Linked DNA regions of Struthio camelus. The protein of the gene in region 1 interacts with the protein of each later gene in a biochemical or structural test. Links are inferred from orthologs where the notes say so. Each region holds a gene or a part of one and is shown in the gene's direction. Other genes may lie near its edges.

Region 1 (9,952 bases):
GTATAAGCACTAGGTGTTTCCTTGTTGCCTCTGCAGGTGGGCAGGTGCTGTGTGAACTGTGCCTCTGCCCAAGGACTTGCCCCTGTCTGGCATGTTGAAACATCATCTCTACTTAAAACAGTTGTTTGGACTTGTTCTGGTTGTACCTTTGCTGCCAGTGTGTGTGTTCCCTGTGGCAACTCCTGGGTCCTTCTGTGCAAAGACCTCAGCTCTTTGAAAATGTTTGTGTTCCCGGCAGTGTTTTAATCTAGAAAAAAGATGCTTTATGCTCTCTGCTGTCCTTGCTAGTTTATGGGCTAGTGGGAGAGTAACAGAGTGAAAGGTGAAGCTGAAGGGTGTCTTGGGTGCCTGCCAGGCAGAGGTGTTGCCTGATGCTGTAATGTGAACTGATAACAGCAGATGGCTCTCGAAGTCCCTCTGAAATCAGGACAGCCAGCCACTGTTAGTGAGAACAGGCTCTGGTCTGGCCCTGTACAGCCCCAGCAGGTAACAAGTAGCAGCTGATTGCAGGGGCCTAGGGTAGAACTAGGACAAAACCAGTCTTTCCCCTGGTGTGTCCTGCTGAGCTGCAGCCCGGAGGTTTCCTGGTGCCGTTGTATTTGAGTGCATGAGATAACTCTGCTGCAAAGCCTATTAGTGTCACTGCATAATGCAATCTTTTATCTTGGAGCAAGATTGAACTCTTTCTCCGCCTTAAACTCAGGGAGGAAAGGCTATGCTGGTACCTACATGCATCTCTGCTCTCTCCTAAGACTGCCATCCCCTGGCAGGAGCTGGAGAGGCTTCAGGGCCAGGCACTCCACAGCTGGCCCCTATCAGGCTGTGATGTGAGCAGGAACAGTTTAGGGCTTTGGAGTCCCAAGACACAGTGGTGTTTGGTGAGCAGGCTGGTTCACCCCAGAGTGTGACGTTCCTTGTCTCACCATAGAGCTGGCAGAGCTGCGGTGGTGGCCCCCCTCCAGGAGGGAAAGGCCCTTTCGATCACTAGCCTCTCTGTGAAGTTTGTCAACAAAGCGGGCAGCTAATGCCAGGGCAGTGACCAGACTTCAGCCCCATGAGCTGGTGCTGGGATTTGGGTGGAGGCTGTAAATACCCCAGGGCTGTGCTGCTAAGCAGAAGGAGAGGAGCTGTAGCCTGGATAAGGAGAAACAAGATCTAGAGTTCTCCCCAAACGCTCACTGCCCTCCTGTGATACCAAGTCCAAGTGAGTGTAAGCTTCAAGTTCATGGCTTCAGTTCACAGGATAAATTCATGCACGTAACAAGTCAATGCTTTCGGTAACTCCTTAACCAGTTACCAGACAACTCAGCCCATTACGGGTACACAAGCTTTACATGATCTGGAATGTCCCTTGTAGCAGAAAGTTTCAAAATGAAAAGGGGTTAACTTACCAAAAAAAAAAAACTTAGGGGTATTGGGTCTTGTCTTCTGTTGGTAGGTGTTGGGCTCTGCATGCCTTCCACATTAGTCAGCTGAGAAGAAAAAGGTATAATCTTTTTTCAGCTGGGGTGCAGGGAAACACAGAGGTGAGTGTAAGGGTATTACCTGGTCTCTGGTCCCCAAGAGGTTAACCTCAATTTGTCAAGTCTCTCCACTTGCAAAAGTGATCGGAAGGAAAGTGATAAATTTGCTTTCCTGGTGCTCAGTGCTGTTCCTAGAGGAGAGGACCTTGCCGGCTGGCTCTTTCTGCTGAGTCACGGCCTGCTTGCTGCCTGCACCATTGCAATGCCGCGGGTGTTTCTCTGATTTCTGTCTTTGCAGCCCCACTGGCCTCAGCGGGGTTTACAGAGGGGTATCGTGCTCCATTTTGCCTGTCTGTGAAAATGAAATGTAAGCTGATTTTGCTTGGAGAGAACTGCAAAATATGTATGTAGCAAATATGTGTGGGGAACGGAGCCAGCTGTGCTCTAATCCCCCCTCGTGCCTGGAGCTGCTGGGAAAGGTTTGCAGAAGGCGACAGCTTTGTTTGGCTCTGCTCAGAGCCGGCCTGGGTAATGCCCGCTTTCCTGCAGTTGCTAACAGCATACAGGCACGGCTGGGAAAGCTGCTTGTGTAATGCCCAGTTCCCTGCTGAGATCTCCATGGTGAGGCTTCAAAGCCCAGCGAGCCCTCCTGAAACCTTGCTGGCCCCCTGGTCTGGTGCCATGTGCGCGTTAGTGGCTGTGTCCTGGGAAGCAAGTCTGGGGCCTGTGTCTGCCTGGGGCTTCCTTGTTTAGGAAGGGATCATCTTGTGGTTTATGAGCAGGCGATAGCATCTGGAATTGTTTCAGAAACATCAATCCTGTCTCCTTGCTACAAACCATTTGGAAAGCGATTAACCCATTTTCTTTGCTTAGGTGAACTTTAATGGCCAAGTTGCAAAAGGCGTGGGTATTGTAATGGAGTTAAGCTAGTGCAGAATTTGAGTATTTATTTCAGCTAGGCTCATTATGGTTTTGCAAAGGCCACCCTTAATCTGAATTAAGTGACTGAAATGAAGCAGTTTGAAGACAAACAAGGCCTTGGGGATGTTAGTCTTAAAACCCTTATAACCCAGCAATTGTCACACAGCTGCAGTTCTGCAGGTCAATTCCCACTCCAGGCAAGGCCTGAGAAATCATGTCTTGGCTTTCGTAGCACCTGTCATAGGAAACCTTGAGGCAGTTCTGAAACAAGTTGCAAAACTCACCTGCAAGGAAGATGAGCCCTGTTTTGTGGATGAAGAAACAGCTATGGAAGCTACAAGTCTAATGCAAAGTTGCTAAGCATCACATTTTAAAGGAAAACATAGTAGCTTGTTTCCAGCTAGCAGTAGTCCAAGCCTAAAGGGAAGAAAGAAGGAGCCTGGAGCAAGTTTAAAGTTGCAGGAGAAACTTCTCTTTCCTTGCAAAAATACCCTATAAACAAGAAGTAGCCAGAACAGCTCCATGCAGTAATTAATGTCTACTTTAGCTGTCAGCCTGCTGTGCGTACAGGTAAGAAATGGCTACAGTGTTTCTCTGCAGTTCCTGTTGGCTGGGTGAGAAGCCCTGGCAATTACTGTGAGCTCATTCCACTTGGGGCTCAGAGCGCTGAGCAGCGCTTCAGGACTCGCGCTGCTCCAGCAGTTCCCGTAACATCTCAGTATTGCTGCAGCAGCAACCTGCGCCCATGCCATGCAGAACGGGGTGCGCCTCTGTGGTGCAAGGAGTGGAGATGGAGGTTTGCTGGGCACCGACCTGAGACGTAGTACAAAATGCAGACCTTGCTGCGCGGTGGGGTTTCACATCAAAGAGGTGGATTTGCAGCGAGCTAGCATGTGTGATGTGGGGAGTCAGGACACCCGAACAAGGGATTCTTCTCCCAATTGCTACCTCTTTGTGACATGGACATTCAGCCAACGCTGAGGCCCTGCAGGGTGTTAGTAAGGAGGAAAATATGGGTGTAGATTTGATTATTTCTTTGCAGTAATCTTGTTTACCAAGAATATCCATGGGGTCCTGCTTCTCTGAACACAGTGTTAAACAGCAAGTCTGTGCTCATGGTGCCCTTCTGTAGCCAGTCCTGCTTATGGTGCTCTTAGCATCTTTTTATTTCCAAGTGCTGTACCACTAGGCTTAAGGGCAGGAAGGTGCTTGGCTGTACAACAGCAGTCCTGGAGGACTGAACTATGGGGGAGTCGTTGCTGTTGTGTTCCTCCAGGCTGGCAGTACTGTAAGCCACCAGCTGATGCATCTTACTCTTGGCTAGCCTTTGCTGGCAGATCTTCTACATGGCCATAATGTGGTGAGAGTGATGTGCCTGTACATTGGTTGGGACTGGCTAATGATACTTGCCAGTCTGTGACTTCTTGGATCCAAAAGGGACTCGGTGCTTGGTGACCCAAGCAAAGTCAGGCAGGCGAATGTGAGCTTTGATTGAGAGGGCTTCAAGAAGTCCAGATTTGATTATCCAGAATAACTTGTGTTGGGACGTTAAGGCAGGGAGTGTCTTCTGGTTTTTGCCCTCCTCAAAAGAAGAAATGGTCATATTAGAGGAGGAGCAGCTGAGCAGCTGATTGCCAGTGCAGTCAGTCTTGTGTTCCTGGTACATCTGTACCGCCTGTAGGAAGAGCTGCTGTTCCACAATTGGACTCTAGCTGCTTGCACTGTAAGTTCAAATTCAGCTTGTTTTATGTTGTCTCACAAGGATGGATCCCCTCATAGCTTACTTCATTTTACAGTTCCCAAAGCGGTGATATTTCTCACAGAACATGTATTTACCTTGGGGAAATTCTCCAACCAATTTACAGCATAATGTCAATTCATGGCATTCTTAAGCCAGTTAAAAATGGACAGGGGAAAAAAAGGTTTTTATGTCTCGCCCCTTTCTACTGACCTGATAAAACCACCTCATGGCCGCATGTTCAGAAATCCAGATCTCCACCTCGCTCACTGTTCATCATTTGACAGTACTCGTGCAGGTATTAACGCTGCTGTAACACATAAGGGCTCTGGCTCTCCATAGGGCTATGAGACACCTTGAGACCTTTGTTCCAAAACGAGATGGACCATTCCCAACCAGTAGTTGTCTAGTATGCTTTAAACCTCTGGTGCTGCAGGCTCCACATCTGTTTCTCTTTCTCTCTCTTGTGCTGCTTTTCCCTTCCTGACCTGTGTCAGAAGCCTGTCCTTAGATCAGACGCTTGCCCTTGATTTGCACCTGAATGATGCCCGGGGGAAAAAACGAAACCTTGAGCCTGTCTGACAAGGGATCCCTCCTGCAGTTTCTCCACTAAATCCAATTACCAAGCATAGTAACCGTGTAACGCAAGGCAGGAAGGCCATGGTGGGATCTCTGCTGTGTCCATAAGCCTCTGGAGCGCCTGGCTGCCCTCGCAGGTGGAGGGGGATCTTCTGGGAGCAGCGGGGAGCATGAGTTGCCCCTTCAGGTGGGGCTGCATTGGATGGTGGGGCAGCCCCGAAGCTCCTTGCATCACCTGGGGGCAGGAGGTGGGGTAACGTGTCACCTGTCGGCCCCTTCCCACAGGTGTGGGTCCCCCCCGCCCTGCCCCGAGGTGGTGTCCGGGGGAGGCGGCAGCGCGGGAAGGGGCTGAGGCGGCCACCGGCGTAAAATGGCGGTTGGGGGGGGGGAGGAGAGCGCGCGGGCGCCCCCTGTGGGCGGGGCGAGGCGCGCCCCCGCTTCCCGCAGACAAAAGACGGCGCTGGCCCCTCCCTCCCCCTTCCAACCTCTCACCGCGCATGCGCCGGCCTGAGCGCTGGCGGAGGGGCTCTCTGTGTGTGTGTGTGGGGGGGGGTGAGCGCCACTCGGCGCATGCGCCCTGCCTCCCTCTCCACCCCCCACCACCCCCCCCCCCGGCTCGGCGAAGGTTCCGGAGCTCGCGCGCGCCCCCCGCCCCGCCCCCGGCTCGCGCCGCCCCGCCCCGCCCGCGCCGCCGCTGTCACTCGCCGCGCGGCTCCGGTGCGGACTCTCCTGCAGCGGCAGGTAGGCGGCACCGGGCCCCCGACCGGCGGAGGGAGCCTTCGGGGCCGGGGAGGGTATATTTGGGGGGAGGAAAGGTGCTGCGCGGCTGGCCGCCGCTCTCCGCTCGGGCAGCCGCGCGTTTCGCTGTCCCCGTGCTAAAACGCAGAAAACGGGCGGGGGTGGGGAACCCGTTTGAGGGCCCCCCCAAAAAAAAAATTAAAAAATCGCGGAGGGGCGTGTCCCCTCTCCCTCCCGTTACCGGGCCCGGTTATCCGAGGGGGCCGCCCCCTTGCAGCCTGCCCGCTGCAGCAGTGCGAGGGGCGGCCCCTGCGGCAGCGCTGCCGCCCGGCTGCAGGTGCGCGGCGGCGTGGGGGGCGGCCGGGGGAGGGGGGGGGCTTTTTTTGAATTATGATTTCCCCCTTTCCCTCCTTTTTGGCGTTTTTTGCCCCCCGTTCCCTGCGGCAGGTGGGGCTGGGGGGCTGTGCCGGCGGGGCTGCGGCAGGAGGGGTGGGCTGCGCGGTGCCATCTTCTGTAGCCGCCCTCCTGGGAGGCAGGGACCAGCTGTAATTAAAATAATAGTAATTAAAAAAAAAAAACCAAAACCGTGAGGAGAAGGTGTGTCAGAAATCAGAGCTGCCCCTGTTTAGCCTAAAAATTGGGGGTGCCACGCGCTATTGAGGTCACGGTGCCCCGGAGTTGCCTTGCTTTGTTGCATCGCCCCAGATGCAGAGGGGAAAACGTTAACGATACGCTCGCCTAAGGTGGGTTTTAACGCTACTCAAAGGTGGGCTTTTTTTTCAGCCGGGCTGGGGATGCTGGTGCCCACCCCGGCGGGTTTGGGGCAGGAGCGCTCCCCCCTGCTGCGCGTGCCCTCCGTGCCCAAAACCGCTCCGGCCGGGGCGCGAGGCTGGCCCCCTTCCCGGGGTTTGCCTTGTGAGAGGGGTATTTTTTTCCCCTTTAACTGCTGGGCATCTCTTTGTTTTAAGTCTTAACTTCACAGGGGGGAAAGGGAAGTTTTCTCGGCAGGTATTTCCAGGCGCGATGCGTGGCACACCTGCCCTCCTGGCTTTGAGCAATTAAGCCCGTTAAGAGCGATAAGGGCTTACTTCAGGTGAGGGATGGAGATCTCTGCCTGCGTTTTGTCTGCTGTGCTAGTGTAAGGGAGGATTCAGCTGGGAAGATGGTTATTAACACCTCGAAAAGCAGTCCTGCTGGTGGTTGGGAGAGGGCAGCTGCCATCGCTCTAGAGGGAGTTTCTCCTTCCATTTGCTTGCAGTAGCACCACGCGAGGTGCAGCTCCATTTGCAGCGCGAGGCTGGTCTTGCTTGGAAACTGGCTCGCTGGAAGGAGCAGCTGAGATGAGCTAAGCTGTCACTTCAGCAATTTGCATGCAACGTATTTCTTAGTTGCCCTGCATTTATCTGTGTGGATCTAGGCAGATGTCTAAAGCGTGTCTGAATGAATGGGACAAAATTCACTACTGAGAAACACTGATTTGTTCTGCCAAGCAATGGCTGCCCTCTGTGAAGGTTTTCTACCTTTGTTGCCAGTGTCTCAGATTTGGGATGTTTAATCTAGTGGTTTACCGTATGCAGCTCATTTTGTGTGTGTGTTTTTTCTCAAGGTGGACAATGAAAACAGGCTTGTCAATTCTCAGTTGGATATTTACAGGCTGCTCTTGAGAGAGGGAATGTTAAAGTGCCATTTCTTCTAAGAATGGGAAATAATCTAACCCAGTTATGCTTTGTTCCATTGTGATGTGTGAAATGCTTTTTTTTTTTTTTTCCTTCCTCCTGACTGCACATGTAAGGAGAAAAGTAAGGTTGAGGCTTTTCAGTATTTTGTATCAGGTGTGAATTATTCCCCTGGATTTCCTCCTCCTTGGTCTTGATAGAGTAATGATATTTGGAAGGAGGTATGGCTTTGGCATGCTTCCCTGTGCAGTCCCCAGTTGTTAACAGAAGTACCTCATGCTGCTGAACGTCCTTGGAAATTAAGGCTTTAAGCCTTTGGAATTAAGATGCAGGTGGGATGTAGTTTAGTTTTTTTTTTATTTTGTGTGTTTGTGTTTTTTTTTTTTTGTTTGAGACCCAGCTCTTGTGCTCAAGGACAACATGACTTCTCTTTCAGAGGTACCATGGCCTTGGTCGTTTGAGACTCCATCTTCTTCCATAAGGCTTTTTTGCAATATAACAGGATTGTAGAACGGTTAAGTCCTGAACAGGCAGAGCTTAAAATGAAATATCAATGAGCTCAGTTTATTGCAAGATCTAATGGCGAGAAGCTGAACCCTGAGAAACTTGGACTAAAACAGGTATATCTGATTTAATGACAAAGTGTGAAGTGTGCTTGTCATTGTTTGAAGCCTTTAATGAAGACTCTGTGCCCCTCTCTGGGCTGTTTGTTCAGCCCGGCTCTGGAACAGCTTGTTGGTGGTCTGCAGGCTTTCAGGTGAACTTGTTGCAAAGGTCCCAGCTGACATGCTCTCCAGGTGCATTGAGATGATATTTTGCTCTCCTGGGTGGAGAGCACTTTTAGCTATTCCAGAAGGAAACAGACCTGCAGTTCTCAGCAGATAAATCTCCACCTTGTGGGGCAGATGGCATCACAGATAAGGATGTTTCTACTTCATCAAGGCTAGATTAGCTGGGATGAGGCCAAAAGTGTCACAAAGAGGAGACAGGTACCAGTCCTGCAGGTGAAGATGCAGGTGATGAGTGCTGCTTGTTGGGGCTGTAGCCCAGGAATGCAGATCTGGCTCTGCACATATACACAGCAAAAACATGGGCTTTTTAAAAGCCTCATTTACTCTTTTTAAAATGCTGCTTTAAGTATTTTCAGATCATGCTTCTAATTTAATCTTCTGTGTCAGTTCCTCCTGTGGTCTCAGATAGCCTTGCTGCCCTCTGCTTCCAGCCTCTTCCTTTCCAAGGCCCTTTGCCTAAACAGTCCTCCTCCCTCTGTGCTTAATAAACTGCAATTTCAGCAGGACCCAGCTCATCCAAGCAAGCCTTACTTAAACTGTCCTGAAAAAGCAGTGCTGCAGCTCTTGCTCTCACTTCCCTCCTTGAAAGCCGTGGGGAGATAAATCTGTTTTCCCTTCTTCAGGGTAGAAGGGAGGGAAATGTGACATTGCAACAGCTTTTTCCAAGTTGATGCTGGGCCCAGTGCATCTAGTCAGGGTCACCTGGAGCGGGCCAGTAAGGTGGCTTTCCTAATCCTCTGCCTTTTGTGCTCCTCTGCCTCTTTGTGAACACCCCCGTTCTTCGTTGCCTATTTGCGTGCCTCAGTTGCGTTGCCTTCTCTGTCGCTTAGGGTGTCGCCAGCCACAGAGTTTGGAAGGGTTTGGGTACCACATTGTTCCCCGTGTGCTCGCTGGGGCTTGGTAGGATGGTTTTTCTTACAGTGTAGTAGCAGGGAGTAGACCTTTAAATCTTCATTTGGAAGTTGGGCTTTGGAGTGTCATGGGGCTGCTAGAAATGGCTGGGGGAAGGACACATTTAAAATGCAGTTGAGCTGGGCTGTGGTTTATCTTCGCAGCTTCTTCTGAAGGCTTATGCTCGTCAACATCAGAGTAACAAATTGTCCTGGCATTTACAGCAACGCAACTGTAACTGCATTGCCTGTTGGAGTCCCTGCGTTTGCCTGTATGGGTGTTTGGTGTTGCTGTTTGAGATGCTGGTGCTGTGTTGTGTCTATGTCCAAACTTCCAGACAAATCCCTTTTGGTTTGTGGAGCGTTGAAAATTGGATCGTGAAGCAGTGTCTGTGGGGAAGTGCTGAGGGTGGCCGTTCCCTTGTTTCCCAGTAGGAACACTTATTCAGAAGCTGGAAGAAGTTGCCGATTTGAGTTTTGTCTTGAGCAGAATAAGCTTATTTTGCCAGCCCAGTGCACTGATGAGGCTTGTTTGCTCTGTCTGCCCCTTTTGAAGGAGCGCTACTAATTTAGCTGTAGCAACCTGACAATGCTGACACTTGATGAATTAGTCAAAAAAGAACCAGGGCACTGGCTTCAACCCAGCTCCCAGCATTTTCCAGTTTGCTTAGCCTGCTGGTTGGTGAAGTCAGTCAGCTGGCAGGTTGGCTTATTGCTTCCCAGGCTGTATTGGCTGTGTGTAGATGTAGGGCTGAAAAATCAAAGCAGGAAGCTCATAGTGAAGTGCCCTGAACTTGTGACAGGCTCACAGGTCCTTTATCTGGGTGATGTTGAGAGGATGTGCAGTGCATTGCACCCATCTGTTGGAGCTGCTGGAGCAAAGCATAGGTTTAGGAGGGTTGTGGATCTTGTGGCTCTGCATGCAGATAAAGCTGTCAGCCTCTCAACAGTGGAGTTGTATGTTGTGCTTTCTGGGTATATGGTTTGCTCCAAGGTCTGCAGAACTTTGTGGTCAGTGAAAGAGCACTGTGAGTGCTTCCTTGCAAATGCAAAATGGACTTCCCTAACTGGGTTAGAGCAACTGAGATGGTTAAAGAAAATGAGAGGTGACTGCTTATTTCCCCCTGCCTGCCCCTTAGCCAGGTGGAAGTGGAGT
Region 2 (10,647 bases), on another chromosome or scaffold:
AGCTGGACAGCTACAACATGGAGTTGATGTTTCAGTAAGTCCCTTGTTACGTAAAGTTGGATAGTGCTCCAGGTACAGCGATACAGTTTACTCTTCCTAGGAAGAAATGTCAGAATATAATACAATTGCTATCCACAGCTCATCTAAAGGAGCTGAAAATATCAGTTCTGCTTTAATTATCTTAACGCATGCATCTCTGCTGCTTAGCTTTCAGCTTTTTTATCCTCTAATTCTCCTCTTAACCTTTTTTTTTTTCCCAAAGCCCTTTGAGACCTGAACTGCTGTCATGAAAGTGACTTGGATACTTTGTTTTACTGTATGTTGTCTTGCTTGTTTTTCACTTGCTGTGTATTTGCTGTTGCCCCTTTACTGAAGAAAAGATTGAATTATTCTTTATAGTATTATAATACTGTAGATTACTCGTTATAATACGATGAGTTTAAATCCGATTGTTTGGGAGTTACCTTCACGTACTCGAACTTCAGATTTAACAAAGTGGTGCATATATAGTTTAATCCAGTGGCATATCAACCACATGGAGTGGTGAGATGTTAGCACCATCTAGAGGTTATACTATAGCTTTAAAAAACTCGGGCGTTTACTTTGAAGTATACTTCTGAATGTTTTTTGTTGTTTTTGTGTGGATTTTTTTAAGCCCTTATAGAAACCATCCGCTATTGTTAAGTCACTGAACTGCTCTAGAAAAGTGTTAAAACTTTTACTCCTTGCAAACTTTGAATGGCAATGGTAGCAAATCCACTGAAGACAAAACATAACAGCTCTTCCTCCCTGCTGGTGTTGTTTACAAGATCAGTTTACTACTGAGGAAGCTGTAATGCTACAGGAAAAAGGTGAATGATCTGTTAATTTTTCCAGTGAATAATAAAAGTATGAGGCTTCTTTTGATGCTGCTGACTGTGGAAGGCGATTACAAACAGTTGAAAAACTGACCATTTATAGTCTGAAAAAGCAATTTCCCCAAGGAAGCGATGCTGTTTCCAAAACACAAAATACAGCATTAATGAAATATCAGTCTTAAACAGCTGACACTTTCATATGATAAAGCAGTGCAAGAGAAACCTATTGCAAATAGCTAGGTAGTAATGCAGTCTGGAAAGAGCATCCTTTTTTGAGTGATAAGCGAACACATGTATGTTAGAGTGCACATTTGATGCATTAGTCTCAATTACTGCTTGAAGGGCTTGCAGATATTTATTAGTATAAGGCAATAACTTTCTATACTAAGAGGTCTTAATTTGAGCTAGCTGACATTCAATTACTGAAGTGTAAAAGTTCTGGAGCGTAGCTGGGAAACTGGTTATCTAAATGCAGCTCGTCAGCAGGACCTGTAAAACGTCACATCTGAGTACCACCTTTTAAACTTTTGGACTATAAAGGAAACAAAAATCTCTGCTGGTTATGGGAGGGGAAATAATGTGACACAAAGATATGAGAGAGTGTGTGATGGAGGTGGACCAGCTTAATCAGGGCTACAGATTGTAGGGGGAGAACTAATCAGTTTGAAACTTATTCTTCCCCCTAACTGAGCTACTATTTTGCTCTTTTTTTTTTTTTTTCCTGGCCTTTTAAACTTTTAGTTTTTGCAACTGCAAGGTGCGCTGTGTTCAAAAGTCAAAATTCTATATGAAAAGGAGTTAAAAATGGACACTGTATCACAGAGCATTCCCTGTCATAATGGCAGTATCATGTGGTAAGTGAAGTAGAAATGCTAATGTGTTAGAAAGTGTGAATATTCAAAGACTATTTTTTTAAGCTGTATAGGAACTTCGTATTATAATGGAAGGAGAAATTAGTTTCTGTCCCACATACCTTCACAGTGAAATTTTGGGGGCATTAATTTTCTTAGCCAGGTTGCATATTTATTTGAGGTAGAAGAGAGTGGGGGAAAAAGTGAAAGAAAGGGATACTGGGACAGCAAGTTTTTAGCCTAAAGGTTAAAATGGAATAAAAGAATGGGTTTGAAACATTCGGTGCTATGTATGGTTTTACCCTTTTATACGTTATATTTAACGTTTTAACACCCATCTCTATTTTGGAGCACAATCTATACAACTATTTGAGGCTCCAAGCCAATAAGTTGCTGAAGTACATGGTACTTCTGCTAGGTTCCACTGAAGTAATGAAGGTTACTCCAGAAAGTTAAGCATGAATCCTATTGTGTAACTGCATCATGTCACAAATATTGGGCTTGGGTTTAGTATTTCGTTTCAGATTTTCTGTGCAAACTTTCTGTGGGGGGGGGGGGGAACCTCATTTGTAAAGGCACTATGTAATGGTGTAGTAGTAATAGTATAACATTCCTTCTTGAAGTGCTAGCTTTGACTTTTTAATTAGGGCTTTGCATTTAAAGCTTATGTCAGCACTGTAATTTTGCACATCTATACACATAGTGAACACATCTTTTAAGAATTTAAACCACTCTGTTGCACTACATTCCTAACGCTGTGATTCTCGTAATGGTAACTGAGCACATTATAGAACAGACATTACTTAGATTTCTTATAGGTGTGTTACCTGCATGTTGTCATATCGGTGCATTGTGTGTAGCTGATAAATTAGATTTTACTTCATATTTTACTGAATCATCAATGCTTGTTTTATAACCTGTCTGAAGGATAATATTTGCACTTTTCTTTGTAGAATGTTTGTAGAATGGCCAAACATGCAGGACAGCAAGGGCACTTCTTTCTTTTTCACAGAAAATCTGGGAGAAAGCCACTAATGAATGAAGCAAAATGATAACGCAGTCTTGATAAACCTAGAAAAACTTTCTGCAAATTCCAAGCTATTTGGATTTACTAAGAATATAGGCACTCCAGTAATCCCAAACTTCTATCCTGTCTTCTGGCCAGGACCCTTCTTGCCTGAGATTATAATCTGAACCCCTTTTCCTCCTGCCAAAAATACTTTCTAATTCTCTATACTTGCTGCTTGTTGCTATTATCCACCTTTTCCATGTCTTCCCAGATGTTTTTTTCCAAAGTCTGACCCTTTTCCCCATTGTTCAGTACAATGTAAGAGTCCTGCGGCAAGTGCTGCTGGCTTCTCTTGCTCCTTCCTTTGCACAGGAAACCACTGGAGATAGCACCCCATACCGCAAAACGTTTTCCTGCTCTCTGAAACTGGGTTTTCTAAGTCAGTAAATGTTCCCATGTAACCCAGGATGTATCACCTTGTTCATGGGCATCCAGGAAAACTTACTTTCAGAACAGGTAATCTAACCATACTGTCATCGCTGTTGCTACAGGAACGGCTCACCTTTTCAGTCCTGCTGCTTTCCTGTGAGCTAAAAAGGTCAGTAAATACAGCAGAGACTGAATGTTGGGGCAAATTCTGGATCACTAACAGCACTAGCAAAACTTTTTCTTTTTGGAAGAATTATCTTAGTGCTAAAAGCATAAGTATTTTTCAGATCAGTTGTTTTTCAGTATTGGTAAATGTTTTTTGGCTTTGGATAACTATTTTGTGGGGATTATAATGAGGAGGGAAAATAATTTCTAGGATTACAGTACCTGTGAGGTGTAAGGCACTTCTACACAGGTGGGTCACTAACAAATATATATTTGTCAGTAAATAAGGATATTACACCTAAAAAAAAAAAAAAAACGTAATCTCGGTTATTCTGGAAAGTGAGATATTTGCTTTCTTTTGTCTTGATCAAAAAATACGTGAAGCCTATAAAACTCATATAATAAAAATTGAATTTTTAATACTGAATAGAATATTCACATCTTTACCTGGTTCAGAAAACATGACAGCAGAGGGTCATCATGTTTTGGAAATGCTAGTCTACTTACTTGAAAGTGGACTGACAATTGTGACTTTTAGGTAAGACTTCGGGTTATGTTCTATGCTTGTGGTGCAGTTTTTTACCTTTGATTCTATTAATAAATGTACTTTCACATTTTCTGTACTAGTAGTATAAAAAAATTGACTAGTGTATTATATAGATTTTTAGCTTGTTGGTAAAGGAGGTTGAAACTGATGGTGCTGACAGATGAGTTATGGGGGAAAAAAACACAATGGGAAAGATAAATGTATACAACTGGTGTTTCAGATTTTTTATGCGACACTACTAACCTGCAGTAGTTCTTGAAGTAGTTAAATGTTTAGCTTCAGATTTTTAAATCTCTAAGCCAAACAGCTAAGCAAACATTTGGTATTTTTGTTTTTGAATTCATCTTTAATTGATGTAAGGACGTGTTCGTTCAGTTTAGTGCTTTAACTAGGTATTGACTTAGTAAATTATAACTATTCCAGACAGGCTTCTTTCAACAGGGCTTTTGTTAACATTTTTGAACGTCTGTTCGTGTCTTGCCTTTGCTCCCTAGAATGACCAATATCAAAGGATACTCAGCTACAAAGGTAGAACACATCCATGGAGAAAGGATGACTGAAGAAGGAGCTTTCCAACTGCATGCAATTTTTTCCTACCTATGGAGATAACAGTCCTGTGACTTCAAAAACCTATTGTAAGCAAGCAAACAAAGGTTTTGATAGAAAAACAAACAGCCTTTTGGGTGTGGGGGAAGACTAAACCCCATAGTAATTCATTGGTCTGAGTATTTTCCTCCTGTTTCCAAACAGGAGCTTCAGCAGTCTTTTCTGAACCTCTGTTTCTTATTTTTCTGCTGCAAACTGTCATCTTTCCTTGAAGACTAGTCCTTATTTCAAAGTAAAGAAAAATGCTGAAGCTTATCAAAAGTAGCCAGATAAGCAACGGTTACACAAATAGTAATTTGGAAGCATATTTTACCTTAGCATGTCAATATATATAAATACATTTTAAATGAATTATTTAAACTTGTAAATGTTTTCAAACTTTCTCTTAGACTTTTTTAAAAATCGCAAAAATTCTAATAATCTAAATTAATTGTTAATTGTTGCCGTTAATTGTTCCAGATGACTGCTTTAGTATTTCGGTCACTTCTCGAATTGGGTAATTCTCCTGAAATCTCTCCTCTTGCACAGCGTTGAAGTTATTGGAAAGGAGCAAATTTAAGGGGTTCTTATTTAGGGTTTTTAATTGGAATGCTGGATTCTACCTGCTCTTCCACCTTCAGTTATCAACCGAGCATTCCAGTCAGTTTGGACACTTGTATTTTTGTGGTCACTGTCTGATAATATTTCATAATGTTCCTGGGGACAATTAGGTTTGAGTTCTGACACATGATATGTTCTTCTACCTGCTTAGGTGGTTGTTAGTTTAAGATTATTCCATTTTTTGTAGGAGAAAAGATGTCTAGCCTGCGGGTCTAGATCTGTCTTCCAGATGTTTGTCCAGTGATGATAGATTGGTTTGTAGGGAGGGGAGGGAGAGACCTCCTTAATCAGTATCCTATCAAAACCTATTTATTACACCTGAGGGATGCAATTTTGTGCAAAGCTTAGTCTACCCCGAGGCAGTTTCTCGGCAGCATCTGTTCTGCAGGTTCTGGCAGTTGCACGAGTGCAAGATAAATTGGATCAGCCCGCTGACCATGGATGGGATGGAAGAGTACTCTTTTTTGGTTGGTTAACCTGTTAATTGTGAGTATCCACCTCACCCCAAAGCTGAGAGGAGCCTAGATAAAGTGAAGTGGCAGGAATGTGCAGGGAGAGAGGGGAAGAGCACACCTGTCTCGGGAGCAGCCTTCTCTTAAATCCGATTAGGCTTGGAATGGGACTGCACCCTCAGATAACAGAAATGCGGTTAACCACCAGTGATCAACTCGACTTTCAGTCACGACTTTCTCAGACCCCTCCTCTGCAGGAATACCTTGCATTCTTGCTGGATGGATGACCTGGCATTTGCATACCTTAACATGTGTTTGAACGAAAGCCCCTAACTAATTCCTTCAGGTTACTGGTGGAGCGCCCTGGCCTTCGTGTCTACTTATTTTTCTGGCGGAAAGAAATGCCATTAAGGCTTATTTCAGATTGCCTTTCGGGTAAATCCTGGAAAAGCGTTGAACTTTACTCCCTCTTTGTCAGAAGCCTCTTACGAGCGTTCTCGGTCGATTAACAGCTGCTTCACCCGTGTGTCAGGCCCTCGGTGCTCTGGAGGAGCACTGCCTTTGAAGGCCAACAACCAGAAGCCCTTTTTGGCAGCCTTCTGGGCTGCAACGAGGCGCCGAGAAGCGCGGTCGCGGGTCTTAATCGCTTCCCCTTCATTTCCTGTCCAGCACCGAGTCCTGTTTGTGAGGCACGTGAGGTGGGTGAAGAAACAAAAATGCAGTCAAAAAGTTTTTGCAAAAAAAATAAAAAAAAACAAGAAGGGGGGGGGGGAGAAAAAGATAGATGGGGCGGGGCGGGGGGTGGGCGCCCTGGCAGTGCCAACCTGCGGCGGCGCTCGCCGCCTCCCCGCCCCGCTCCGCGCCGCCCCCCCCCCGCTTAAAGCCGCGCCGCCGCTTAAAGCCGCCGCTCCGCTCCGCGCCGCTCCGCGCTTCGCCTCGCCTCGCCGCCGCGATGCCGCTGTGGGGCTGGAGCCTGCTGCTGGCGGCGCTGCTGCCCGCCGCCGCCGCCGCCCCGCCGCCCGCCTGCCCCGAGCGCTGCGAGCGGGCGCGCTGCCCGCCGCTGCCCGCCGCCTGCCCCGCCGGCGCCGTGCTGGACGCCTGCGGCTGCTGCCGCGTCTGCGGGGCGGAGGAGGGCGAGCCCTGCGGCGGCGGCAACGGCGGCGGCCCGCCGTGCGGTGAGGGGCTCCAGTGCGTCGTACCCGCCGGTGCCGTGCCCGCTTCGGGCACCGTGCGCAAACGGGCGGCCGCCGGGCGCTGCCTCTGCGCCAGCAACGAGCCCGTCTGCGGCAGCGACGCCGTCACCTACGCCAGCCCCTGCCAGCTGCGGGCCGCCAGCCGCCGCGCCGAGCGCCTCCGCCAGCCGCCCGTCATCGCCATCCAGCGCGGCGCCTGCGGGCAGGGTAAGGGCAGCGCCCGGCCCCGCGGCTGGGGACGGGGGGGGTCGGGTCCTGCCTCTCGGGCGCCTGCCGACAGCGCCGGCTGAGCAGCGAGGCAGCAGTGAAGTCGTGGTTCTCGCCCGCCTGTCAAAACCCCGGGAGAAGCAGGAAAGCAGCGGTCATGCCGGGATTCTCATGCCCTTCTTGAAAATGGGGGATAAGCAGGGAAATAACGGTTAAACCGTGGTTCCCATTGCGCTTCCCTTACCTGCAAGTGTCAGTCTTCTGTGCTCAGCGAGTTCCCTTTCCAGCTGCAGTTTGCACAGCTGCATGGGGGGGGGGGAGGGAGGAGGAGAGGTATGGCCTTAGTCTGGAGTTGGTGGGTGCTGGGGAGTTGGGGCTTTGCAAGGACTGAGGTTTGGCCGCTGGAGCGAGCTGACCCAGGGTGAGGAGTTTTATCCTCAGGGCTCTGTTGCTTAAGGTGATGCATGCCTTCTTGGGAGGGATCCCACTGCTGAAACGCAAGCCGCTCTGCAGCAGTCAGGCATCCTAGTTTATGGCTGGCATTATTAGGAGAGGACCAAAGGAAAGGGCTGTCCTTGGCTGAAGCGTGGCATTCAAGTTCAGTGAGAAACTAGAGCAAGAATGCAGTGTTTGTAGTCCGCCAAGCGTCAGGGGAAAAGAATCCTATGTCCACTTTGAAACTAAACATCTCCTTCTCTCCCTCCCTCCACCCAGAAAAGTAACCCTTGAGGAGGATGCAAGGCTCGGAGTTGGGGGAAATTAGCTTCAGAACTTGGAAAGTCTGTACCCGGCTGAGCCCCGCAGCTGTGTTTGGGGATGTCCTTCTGAGGGCATTTACAGCCAGGCTCTTTACCACAAAGAAATACCCTGGGGAAATAAAATCAAGAACACAGACGGTGTTAAAATCTGATTACAGTAAATGCAAGCAGTATGTCCATGTCAGCAGAGCAGGCAGTTGGCTGCCTTTGCCCATTTTATCAGAGGCACTGATTATGACTTCCAGCTTTGCTGGAGAGGGGGAAGCTTAAAACTGAGCAGCATATTAGGCTGATTTTATGTTTTTTTTGGAGGAGGAGAAGGGAGTGGTCATCAAGAAACAGCAGTATAGCTAGTAGTAAGGAAGTATAGTAATTTCCCTTTAGCATTATTATTTAGTTGTAGTTACTTTGATTGAATTGGACGTAACTGCATTCTCAGTGCTGCAGGACAGATTGCTAATGCTAATTACTTGTAAATCATGTAAAGACAAATTACTGGGTTATGAAACTGTTGCTCTACACAGGAAATCGCTGTACTGGACAGCCCTGTGGAGTGTGCAATCTTATTTCTAGTGATGGCTAGTACAGGGCACAGCAAGACAAAAGCAGACTGCTAGACAAAGGTCAGATGATCTGTTCCCTTCTGTTGTGCTTGCAAGATGCGTTTTTGCAGCTGCTAATACAGATTGGTTTAATTTTTGTGGGCTAAGGTTATATGTTCCTTTCTAATCACTCAGTACTGTTAGGGGATAATATGTAAAGATTAGTATGAATTAAGGCTTTATTTCTGAAGCAGTAGTCATATTTTAGTAAGTCAATGCTATTTTCTTAAAAATCGATCCTTCTATTTTAAGTTGTACTATTTCTGCACACTTCTTTCTTTAGAAACTTCTGTGCTTTTTTCCCCAGTATTTATCCCTCATCTATCCAGCAGAAGCATAGTGGCTGTGCTCTACTCGGGCACAGTCCTGATCTTGAAGCCTTAGAGATCCAATTTGTAACTCTTGTGTCATACAATCAGCTTTTTTGTACCCCTGGTTTTCCCCGCAGTTTAAAGGCTATGTTGTGTTCCAGTGGAACATTGCTGGCATTTACTGGTGAAGACAAACAATTAAAGCTTTCACGCTATAGTTTCCTGATCTACAGTACAATACAATGCTTTGTGATTTTATCCTCAATTTATAAAATCAATATTGTTGTCTCACAGTCTTTTCTGCTGCACGTTCAGCAGAAAACTCTGGGCTGTCTTTGAGCTAATGAGTAATGCATATCTCCTGTAGGTTGTAATGAAAATACATAGGATGGAATTGGCTCATTTTACAGCTTGGCACTTTGCAGATGTCCTAAACAGTGATTTTTTGTTGTTGTTGTTTTGTTACAGGACAGCTCAGCTCTAGGAGATGCATCATATCCCACTTATGTTCAGACAACCAGTTTGCCCCTGTTGCATCTCTGGTTGGGGCTCGGTTTAACATCTATATCAGTAGGGACAAAAGGAAGCTACTAGAAAAGCCAATCAGTAGTGTGCTTTATCCCTCATACGGAGCAAACTTTGCTGCAAGCAAAACTTTCTTCAAATGTAAAGAACCTAAAATAAAAAGAAATGTGGAATGGCCTGTAAAGCTTTCCCTAGAGGCAGGTTGAACCACTCTTTATTTAGAAAAGGCACTGCCTAATATGTGACTCCTTGGAGAGCTGTTACTTTTTTATTTTGGCTTCATTTTCAACAGTGCTTTTTCTACCTCCTGATGGAGTTATCTTTGATAAAATATTTTTATATGTTCATAGTAACATATCATAAGCAGAATGAAACCACAGAAACCCCAAGCTCTGCTTTGCTAGATTACCTCAGCAATTCACAGAATCACAGAATAGTTGAGGTTGGAAGGGACCTCTAGAGATCATCTAGCCCAACCCCCCTGCAGGGTCACCTAGAGCACTGACCCCTCAAGCAGGGTCACCTAGAACACTACCCAGACAGCTTTTGAATAACTCCAGAGGAGGAGGCTCCACAACCTCTCTGGGCAACCTGTTCCAGTGCTCTGTCACCCTCACAGGAAAGAAGTTCTTCCTCATGTTCAGACAGAACTTCCTGTGTTTCAGTTTGTGCCCGTTGCCTCTTGCCCTGTGGCTGGGCACCACGGAGAAGGGTCTGGCCCCATCCTCTTGACACCTTCCCTTCAGATACTTGTACACATGGATCAGATCCCCCCTCAGTCTTCTCTTCTGCAGGCTGAACAGGCCCAGCTCCCCTCAGCCTTTCCTCATAGGAGAGATGTTCCTGTCCCTTCGTCATCATAGTAGCCCCCTGCTGGACTCGCTGCAGTAGCTCCATGTCCCTCTTGTCCTGGGGAGCCCAGAACTGGACACAGTACTCCAGGGGAGGCCTCTCCAGGGCTGAGGAGAGGGGCAGGATCCCCTCCCTCGACCTGCTGGCAACTCTTTTCCTAACGCAGCCCAGGATCCCATTGGCCTTCTTGGCTGCAAGGGCACATTGCTGGCCCATGGTCGACTTGTTGTCCATCAGGACTCCCAGGTCCTCCTCGGCAGAGCTGCTTTCCAGCAGGTCAGCCCCCAGCCTGTACTGGTGCCTGGGGTTATTCCTCCCCAGGTGGAGGACCCTGCACTTGCCTCTGTTGAATTTCATGAGGTTCCTCTCTGCCCATTTCTCCACCTGTCGAGGTCCCTCTGAATGGCAGCACAGCCCTTTGGTGTATCAGCCACTCCTCCCAATCTGGTATCATCGGCAAACTGCTTTGCTTTGTCTTGTGTTTTTAAGTATTCTTATCGGAAGAATGTAATGGTGGGCCATTTCTAGGATTGTTAGCCCTGTTTCAAATAATATGGCTGCCAGAAGACCCTGAAGATGCAAATATGAAGTACAGCTTTTTGTCTTTTGCAGTTTTCATCTATCATAGCTCATTCTGGAGTGCTGCTTTTGTCTTTCCTTTAATGTTTCTCAAAGCATCTGTT
Region 3 (9,794 bases), on another chromosome or scaffold:
TCTTGCCATCAGCTCCAGGATTTGCTGGTTTGTAGAACTCCAAATCAAAATAAAGTTTGCAAGCATCATTTTCAGGAATTACTTCATAGCAATGCATAAGACTTGTTTTATAACCTTTGCTAAGGAAAAATAAAAACAAATCACAGCCTCTCATAATAAACAGTATACACGCTTATTAATTGCAAACAAGAACCCCACAGTCCTAAATATTCTTTTATTTTTTAAACCAACTACCTGTACTAAAACAAATGTAAGTAACAGCCCTATACTGCTCTGAAAAATTTGTAACTAACTTCAGAAACTTTGCTGATGTATGGCCTAGGATTTAGATTCATAAGCCCACCCCCAAAGTCTTACAATACCCACTGCCAACAGAAATGCTGTCCAGAATTTAAGGAATGATGGAAATGACAGTAAAAGGATAGCATAAAATATCAGGGTTATGACTTAAGCACTAAAAATGAATTTATTTATAATTTTTTAAACTAAATTAAAAACTGAGAAAATTTATTCCCATATTCAAGTTGAGGAAAAAAAATCAAGTTTACAGTTCTAAAAAAAAAAAAAACCAAAACCTTAGATTTCTTTTGCTTCATAACCAGATGTTTTACTGTGAAAAACCACTGAAGATATTCAGTGCATGATCAGATTGTCAATACTTGAAACTGTTCATCAAGCCAAAGCAAAACTGTATGTTGTTAATCAGACATTTATATTAATATGCATTTAAACTGATATATCACTAATCATGGAAATATATTTGTATTGTATGTCAGTGTGATCCTCTGAAGAAAGCTAGCAGGAAAAGTAAATCTACTGCTATTAGATTTAAGTTCACTAGACATGAGGACTTCAATTCATAGGAAATAATGGAGGTTTGCAACTCAAAAAAAAATGTTGAAAACACTATATAATAGAATGATTTTTCATTATGTAGACTTTACCTAAGGCCAAGATCAAACCTCAGGCAAACTATTACAGCTCTGTGCTACTCAGAGCTGTACTGACCGACCATCAGTAAAGTATAGGGGTCTTTTTTGAATACTTACGCATAATAAAACCAAAGCTCATAATATGTTGTCACAAGGTAAAACCTCTGTCCATTTTGTGTGTTCTTTTCCAAGGCAAATACATGAACATCCTTTTCAAACAAACAAAAAGTTAGGTTGCTTTGAGAATTAATTAAAATTTTCAGAAGTTCCTGACACTAACTTATTTCATCAAAAGTTAGTAAAAAAATGAGAAAACTAAGTATATCACTTACCCTTTTCTAACCTAAGAAACATCTGTTTTTAATTAAGAAGTTCTTTCTAATTTCAGTTATGTGATTATAAATTTGAATAAGTTGAGATTAACAAACCTATGATGAAATTACATCAATGTAAATTCTATTTGCTCAGTAAAATCTTTTTTCTTTCTGATCACAGCAAGCGCATTTAATGGAAGGAGAAACAATGTTCTGTAAAGAATATTCTCACTGATGTGATGTCTGCATATGGCTTTATAACAAATATTCCTTAGATTCTATATTATTTAAATCCAAAAATAGAAATCCAAAGGCAAAACCAAAAAAAAACCACTGCTGAGCTGGTGAGAATATGTTTAGGAAAACCAACTGTCAGAACAGTCTGAAAGAGACTGAGAGCAATAGCCTTCCAATAAGTTATTTTAAAAGCCCCCAAAGTCACAGTATCTGACTATTTTACACTCTTAATGTAACAGACCCCGTATCTCCTGCAGCACGGGACAACAAAAAACTGTGCCTTTTTCACATGTGGGGAACTAGAGGCAGCCTAAAACTGTCTTGTCCACAGCCAGCACAGGAAATCTGTGGCAGCAGGACATTTATGTGTACATCCTTTTAAGTGAATAGATAGCAAAAAATAGTGCCTCTTGCTGTTGAGGCTTTGCTTCCAAATGCTTACCCAATACACAAAAATATATATATTTTGCTGAGTTTCTACCTCTTTTTTCCTCCCCCCTCCCCCCCCAATATTTTCTCCTCTTTCTTCCTACCTGACTCTCTTTACTATTCTCCTGCTAACCCTGCCAGCTTGCTTATCTTGAGGAATAAATCTATCACTACAATGTTGCCAGAAAGCACCTCTGCTGTTTCAAGCTAACATCACATATCAATTCTTATTAGAGTACAATTCTTATTATCTAGTACTTATTAGAGTTCACTTCAGTGCATCATGATCTTCTACAAAGATCAAAAAAATTAATTGACGTTTCAGGTTTTCAAAACAAAAGTATCCTGCAATCTGCTAAAGACTTTACTATTAACCAGGCTTTTAAATGAAATCAAATATTGAAAGTACTCAAAGAGCAAAGACATTTAACAAACGATGTACCTCTTCACAGGTTTTTACATAGTGAAAAGCTTCAGCCTGCCGACAAAATATTTTCCAAACAGGGGATGGTTGAAAAGGTTTGGACAGCTTTGGTCTGTAAACTGGAAGAAGAGGGTTTCTTTCATAGTGAGATGCTAGTTCTTCAACTTTCTTCAGTCTTTCTTCCCATTTTCTCTTCATTTCTCCTAAAGCAACTGCAAATAGCCAAATCAGTATCAATTTCTGTTTGTGATTCAATTGTAATATACCCTATGCCCACCTCTGCTTTTGATTCTTTATTTGTTGAGCATTCATTATTTATTCACCTAGTATGGCCAATATTCAAAACCAACACCCAATTTAACTATGATAGTCCTTCCTTAACATTTAATCTTTCCACGCAGTTCTGGTAAAGATCATTTATTTTCATATTAATTCAATCAAAGATCAACACACAGAAAAGATGAAGTAAGGGAATGCACAAGAAGTTTAATTTTGATTTACAGAACAGTATTACACTCTGTACAAGAGTACACAAAACTGTCTTAATTAGCCTCACATGATTAGTAACGAGTGCAAAAATGCTATGGTTTCTGCTTTATGGCAAATACTTTATGGCTGGAGAAAAAAAACAGGGTAATTGATTTATATGGGTAATAAATCACTTGAGTTCCTAAGCAAAAATTAAGATTTCAGTGACCTAGCTCTGAGCTCTGTGTCTCAAAGTAAAAGAACTGAAATCCTAAATGAGTGCTCCATTCTCTGATGCTGAACTTAGCTATTGATCAGTAATAGTTTCACCTGCTTTAAAAATCTCATGTTTTCTGTGCTTCCTTGCAAACCTAAAATAGCAACCCTGTCTGTTCTCAAGAAATGGTATGTGACACAGTAATGCTTGCTGTCATGCAACCTTTAACATAAAGGGATCCACATGCTGTAAAGCAACGTAAAACACAAAAGTACCTAAACATAACAGAGGTATAATTATTTGCAAGTTTTACTACCTTTTTTTCCTGAAAAAAAATTATTGCCATTCAAAATGCCTACAAATGATTAAGAACATTCCTAAAAAACTGAAACAGAAGAAGAGGGAAAAGGAGTGGAAAAGACTCAGATGCATCTTTTTATTCCATTTAGGATTATCACTTAACCAACGCTTGGTACACCTAACAACATGCCACTTGCAATAAAAGAGAAAACAAAACTAACTATACTCAAAAGCCTTCATACCTTTAACAGACTGGATACGCAAGGTGAATTTAAATATTTAAATATCCCTGTGGGCACCAAAGCCCAAATTCTACATCCTCTGAGTCCCCCTCCAAGTTTTCCACAGCGAAGTGTTCTGGACTCCAGCATTTATGCCCATGGTACACTTAAACCTGCCTTAAAGGTTTAAAGGTGTAGTGCCCAGGTCAAGCCTAAACAACAGAATGCTTTTTCCTCTTACAGGGGCCAAATATACCATGTCTGCAGACCTTGACAGCCTGTTGACCTATGAACTTCCTCCACTCCCTTCCTCTTCATGCAATCAATTTCTTCCTTGGCAATGCAAAGAGAAATCATAGATGGCAATCAGCATTTCTCAGAAGCAGCAGAACCTTTGGTTTCGTTTTGATACTGTTTGCGTTGCTGTAAATTAATTCAGTGCAGAAGGACAATAGAGATTCGCTACCTCAGCACCCTCCCACAAGGTCACAGTTAAAGAGGAGGGAGGCAAAGGAGAATTCCCGTAATCCTACACTCATTTTAAACTTCCTATTTAGGAATATTTTTTGCAGAAACAATTTCTACAGGGATACTCGAGTCTGAGCAAAGGATGATGCCTCTTACTTTAAATTGAGATCTGTCACTTTTTTTTTCAGTCCAAACGTTCATGGATTCTCAGCAGTCCAATGTCTCAGGTCTTTCGAAAATAACTTCAGCTCCTATACCAAATATACCCAACGTAACACATCTACTTAGAGCATGTACAGTTTAGACCTACAGACTAGTAAGCCACCTGAGTTTACATGGAAATTCTGACTCCGTTTTCATTCAGTTCCTTCCCACCAGAAGGAATGGGAATAATTATATTCATTTCACTCCCCAGAAAGAAATTTTGTCATCAGCATGTTTGTACTTCACTGTTTTTGATAGCATATGAAGACATTCAGAAAACATATCTCCCGGGAGATCACAAACTCTGCATTTCATTTCCCCCTTTGATGAAAGACTATCAAAAAGCAAGCAAGTGCCTATTTCGACAGGTTGGAAAATTTAGTTTTTGATCTTGAATTTACCCTGCTTTTTGCTACTAAAGGTCAATATACGAATAAGAAAGTAAACAACTGACCCTAAAGTTCATAATGAAGCAGGAACTACCTCTTACATTCAAACAGCTATTGCATAAGAGCGCATGGCAGGGCATTCAGATTCTAGTAAGAAGGGATTCAGACTACATTCATTGCTAAGCTGTACAATTTCCAAGTTTGCATCACGTAGCCATGGGAGATAAAATCCATCATAAGTGGAAGGGCCTGCTCTGATACAGTTCAGTATATCTGTATTTCTTCTGATCACTGAAACCAGAAAGATGCCCTCTCATATGCTATTCATCCCCTGCAATTTATTTACGATCATAATCAACCACTTGTTTGGACTGCCAGAAACACATTAATTTTTCAGCACACAGAAGAACTGAAACAAAACACATATCCAGGTTACGCAAATTCAAACACAAACAAGCGGTATTTCCACTGCAGCGTACAGAGGAAACAACCAAGTTTTATGCTCAGGCAGCTGTAAGAGGCCTGGTACGCAACGCAACTTAAAGCCTGCTTGGGCACTTCCGCACTTGCGGTGCAGGTGTAATTCAGGCACAATCACAATCAAAATGCATGACTGCTAATTTGTCACCCATGTGCCAGCACAGACTTCATTAGGTTCTCTGTAAGCTACAGCAACGACCATATTTAAACACTTCACACATTATCATGGTCTGAATGTTATAAAACACCAGGGAACTCCGACTAGGTTTTGAGATCTTTATGCTAAGAATATAAGGACCTGCAGTTTACCAGCACGACGTAACTGGTGGTGGTAACAAGAACATCACCAGGTCCAAACATGAAGAAATTATGAGTGACAATTCGGGCGGGGCGGCGCCCGAAGAGCAGCAGCAGCGCGCGCCGCCGCCGCCTCCTCCTCCTCCTCCTCCTCCTCCTCACAGCGCGGCCGCGCACGCACAGCGGCCTCCTCCCCCCCCGCCCCCCCCGCCCCGCCCCGGCGAGAGCCGGCAGGGCGGGCGGCCCCTCGGCCGCGCTCCCAACGGCCCCAACGGCCGGGTTCACCGCCCCCGCCCTCCTGGCGGCGCCTTCCCGCAGCGCGGCTCCCCCTGCGCCCCGAGGGGCGATGAGGCCGGGGGGGGGGGAAGACCCCCCCCCGCCGCGGACCCCGACTCACCGCCGCGGGCCCGCGCGCGGCCGGCTGCCGTTGGCGTTTGAGCGCGCCGCCGTTGGCCCGGCCCTCCCCCGCCGCCGTCCCCTCCCCGCGCGGGGCGGAGCCAGTGAGGCCCTCGCACAAGGCGGTGGCTCCTTCCCTCGCCGCCCAGCCCCGGGAGAGGAGGCCAGGTCGGGAGAGCAGCGCCGCGCAAGGGGGACGAGCCGGTGGGTAAGGGCGGCGGAGGTAGGCGCGGGGTTTGCCGGGCGGGCGGGCCCGGGCGCGGCGGCAGGGCCGGACAAAGCGGCGGCGCCCTCGGCCGCAGGCCGCCGGGGCAGGAGCAGGACAAAGCGATGCCTTTGTCCTGCCGGCGGCTTTTGTTATGTTTCGTTAGAGCGGAGCGGTGGCCGCGGGGCAGTTACCTCGAGCACACCCGAGGTGGCTGCCGGCCCTGCCCTTTCCGCTGGCTGGGGAGAGCGTTGCGAGAGCAGCCCCGGCGCCTCGGCGATGGGCTGTGGCCGTGGCCGTGGGGGGTGGGGGACAGGAACACCTGGATTGGGGTGGATTATTGATTTACCAGAAGCTTAAAACTAATCGTTTCTTATTTTGATGGGAGCATTTGTGTGTGTGTGTGTGTGTGGAAAAGATTACTAAACTTAAAAAACTACTTTCCAGTGTCCCTCTGATAGACTATTAACTGACTTGAAACCTAGGGCCAAAAACTGCACTTGGATTTACCAAAACAACTCTTTGGAGACAGCAGGTCAAGTCTTGTCCGAAAAACGGCAGTTCAGTGACCCAGTTCTTAACAAAATGCTGGATGTGTGTTAGCTAAGATTCATCCTGAGATCAGATTCACGAATGCGGTGGTAAGAGTGTTTACTTGCCTCTTAACGTTCTGATCCTGCAAATACAGGGAAAAATATCAACATACTTGAGTCACTCACTTGACAGAAACTGTTACCCTAAGTTTTTATAGCATGTAGATGTCCCTGTCCAAGGTATTGTCGGTCCGTTCGCTGCTAGATTGAAGGATAGTATAGGTAATCTACTCTTTGATTCTCCAGCTAATAGTTGTAGTTCTTCTGAGTTTCTGCTTGTGGTTAGTAGGCAGGCTTAAAAATATACTCTTTGCCCCTAGCAGCCGATCAGGCTCCTTAACGTTATTGGTTGTGGTGATAATGTAGCTAATAGGTATAGATGGATGAATAAGCAAAGGCCCTGTGTATTCTGGGAATAAATTTTCAATGTGCTGAGTTGACACATCAATGCTGATTAACTAAATCTGTTTGTCTTTGGAAGATCAGACTGCTGGCCCGGTGTCAGTGCTTTTCAGCAACCACATCCAGGCTAGAAGCAGCGTGAAGTGCTGTCACAATATTGGCATGCTTCCATCAAGGGAAGCAGCATTTGATAATGGTGTAATATCACACAGAAAATATGATATTTTTCAAAATTTTTTTTGTTTTTTCTTATAGACAATTTATATATTTTCCTTCTGCTATTATCTAATTATCAATATACATTATATAATGTAAACTATTAATTTTGCATGTCTGCATTGGTATTGCAATGTTCCTTATCCATATACATTAAAAAAAGCTGCCTTGAATGTTTGACGTTTTCTTTTGCAAGCATGTGAGGTGGAAAACTGTGCCCTTTGGCAGTCTTTATAGATACGTTTTATGATCTTGGATTCCGTTTGAGACATGTTTTTGTACTGCTATGATCGTTGCTTTGTAGCAGCTGGCTTATACTGAACATGTGTTCTCTTGTCTGCTGTGGTTTGCATATTTCAGGGTATGGTTGGTAACTAGAGATGGGTTATTTGCTTCCTTTCCTGTCTGAGAAGCTTTGGTATTATTTTTATCTCTGTATTGTTAACTTGTCTCGTATGGCTCAATATTCAGGCAAGTATTATTTTGAATAAAAATTTGATGGTTCTTATGACAATAGTGATAAAGATTATGTGAATTTAATTTTGTTAGGTTCAGGTGGAATAAGAGGCTGGACTAGGGTAAACACATTTTTTTTATTTATCATTAGTCTGTCAAAAGAAAAGAATTAGAACAATTGCATTTATCTAGGGCAAAATATATTTTTGGTTTTATTGCTATACATATAAGCTATTACTTCAGTCATTTCTCAGAGCTTGCTGACAGCTCTAGATTTTGGACCCCTTTCAAGAAGCTTATTCTTTACTGCTTAATACTTCCAAATATGATTGTAAGATTATCTTTATTTACACCTTCTATCCCTGCCTCACAGGATTTTTAAATATTATCAAGTTTTTCAAATAAAATAATGTAGAAAGAGCTATCAAAATAAGCTTCCTAAAACTTACAGAAAATGTTCTGCTAGATTAAAAATGCTGTTGTTCATCAGCTACTTGATCTTTAAGTTTCCATATAGTTGAAAGCTCTTCTCACCTAAGGTTTTAGAGAAAAGAATATCAAGGAGCAGAATAACAACTTTAATTAAATTCTTAACATATTTTCCTGAAAGGTTTCTCCCCTGCCGCTCACCATCCCTGCTAGCATGAGATCATCCTCTACAGGGAAATGTGTATTCCACTTGAGAGAGCATGACCTCATTGCATTACCTAAACTAGGATGAGGTAATTCTTAGTACTCGGTTAGAATCAGCGTTGTCCTCTGACAGCACTGCTGCTACTCTGACGTTAGTGCTGTAGGGCAGAAAAAGTACTGCTGATAAAGCGTGCATTTGAGAGCCCAGCAATAAGACAGGTACCTCTTTTTGGATATCTTTTGTTCTTTAAAGAAGTACAGGTGAATTGGTGCTTTAAGGTTCTCGAAAGTCTATGGAATTTAAAGGTAAGTTACAGATTCTATTCTGAAGATGAGGCAGATGAATTTGTAAATGCGTAATGTTCAAATATTAAGCAAGTGGGCATTATACACAGTTTTTTCTTCAGTATCTCTCCAGCTTCTGTACAGACGCTTGGACAAGCTCCACCCAAGATGCACTAATAGAATGCACTAAGATCTAACAATTCCTTCAGCAATTGAAACGAGGCTTGCAAAGGCTTTAGTAAAAAATATATTTATAATATAGTATTGCAAAATGTCTTGCATTTTTCAAAAACAAACTATTGTAGTTCATTATAATTCTATTCTCTGCTAGCCACTTCTGCAACTTTCATTGTTTCTGTGGCTTGGGATCAGGGACAGCAGTTGTAAATTAAGGTTGCAACAAAGTCAAGGAGGTTGTCACTCTGGACCCATTAGTTGTCACTGGTGCTCCTTGCCCAATGGTATGGCATAGGGCTGGATGACGGCAGTGCCACAGGCAAGAGCACAATTGCCCTAGGTTTTTCTAGAGTCAAATCGAGAGAAAGAGGCATCTCTGAAGAGTGATTCAGCTCTCAGGTACTTAACTTAAGTTTCGTAAGAGCTTGTCTTTCTTTACATAGGGAACTTACAAGATATTAAACCTCCAAGTTGGGAAAAATGAATCCAGATCATAGTGCTGGCATGATCTGTGTTCAACACCCTAGACCTAGTTGCTGGCCTATGCTATGCTGTTGTCTTTAAAGTCAATTTCTAAAATAAAAGATGTCAAGTTTATTTGATGCTTTTGGAGTTTGTTTTTCAGGGAATCTTCTGTGTGCTGCTAGTTTATATGATATAGTTCACAGCCTGGAATCATGTTATGAGCAAGAAGATTTCTTAATTGCATCAGCACTCCCAGTTACAGAGAATAGTATTCAGAGCAACCTCGAACATCTTTTGAAGCCACTAAACTATAAATAAGTTTGTCTTTAAGAAACAAGGAAAGAGAGAAGGTTATATATGCTCAGATTGGTGCTTCGGAGGCATTAGTAATTACTGTCATGGAAAATGTGTGGTTGCAAGGTGTATTAGCTAGAGTATAAGTATGAAATTAACAGACAATAATATGACTGTGTCAGGTGGCAAATATAGTTGCCAGCCTCACATAGATTTAAATAAGAATCTTCATCTTTTCCATCCAACAAAACTTACTACTTGTTCTGGCTATTTATATATCTCCTTTTAACCA

Evidence for each region. The genes of interacting proteins can lie anywhere in the genome.
Region 2: of the proteins of MAPT (region 1) and HTRA1, one has a biochemical effect on the other in vitro, tested with the Homo sapiens proteins (2 studies listed by BioGRID and IntAct, with this or other methods). The link is inferred for Struthio camelus from reciprocal best matches to the Homo sapiens genes MAPT and HTRA1.
Region 3: of the proteins of MAPT (region 1) and CASP3, one has a biochemical effect on the other in vitro, tested with the Homo sapiens proteins (3 studies listed by BioGRID). The link is inferred for Struthio camelus from reciprocal best matches to the Homo sapiens genes MAPT and CASP3.

Annotation. Positions count from the first base shown.
Region 1 is NC_090966.1:4,565,168-4,575,119, reverse strand, and holds the start of MAPT (microtubule-associated protein tau), read left to right. Parts: upstream 1-5,360; 5' UTR 5,361-5,442; intron 5,443-9,952. UniProt on the Homo sapiens protein: Promotes microtubule assembly and stability, and might be involved in the establishment and maintenance of neuronal polarity.
Region 2 is NC_090948.1:5,706,402-5,717,048, reverse strand, and holds the start of HTRA1 (serine protease HTRA1), read left to right. Parts: upstream 1-6,447; 5' UTR 6,448-6,468; coding exon 6,469-6,916; intron 6,917-10,647. UniProt on the Homo sapiens protein: Serine protease with a variety of targets, including extracellular matrix proteins such as fibronectin. HTRA1-generated fibronectin fragments further induce synovial cells to up-regulate MMP1 and MMP3 production.
Region 3 is NC_090945.1:51,138,152-51,147,945, reverse strand, and holds the start of CASP3 (caspase-3), read left to right. Parts: upstream 1-5,594; 5' UTR 5,595-5,980; exon of another isoform or gene 5,981-5,999; intron 6,000-6,466; exon of another isoform or gene 6,467-6,622; intron 6,623-8,563; exon of another isoform or gene 8,564-8,587; intron 8,588-9,794. Other genes in the region: PRIMPOL (DNA-directed primase/polymerase protein), read right to left, coding at 1-119, 1,050-1,141, 2,355-2,548, 3,812-3,899. UniProt on the Homo sapiens protein: Thiol protease that acts as a major effector caspase involved in the execution phase of apoptosis. Following cleavage and activation by initiator caspases (CASP8, CASP9 and/or CASP10), mediates execution of apoptosis by catalyzing cleavage of many proteins.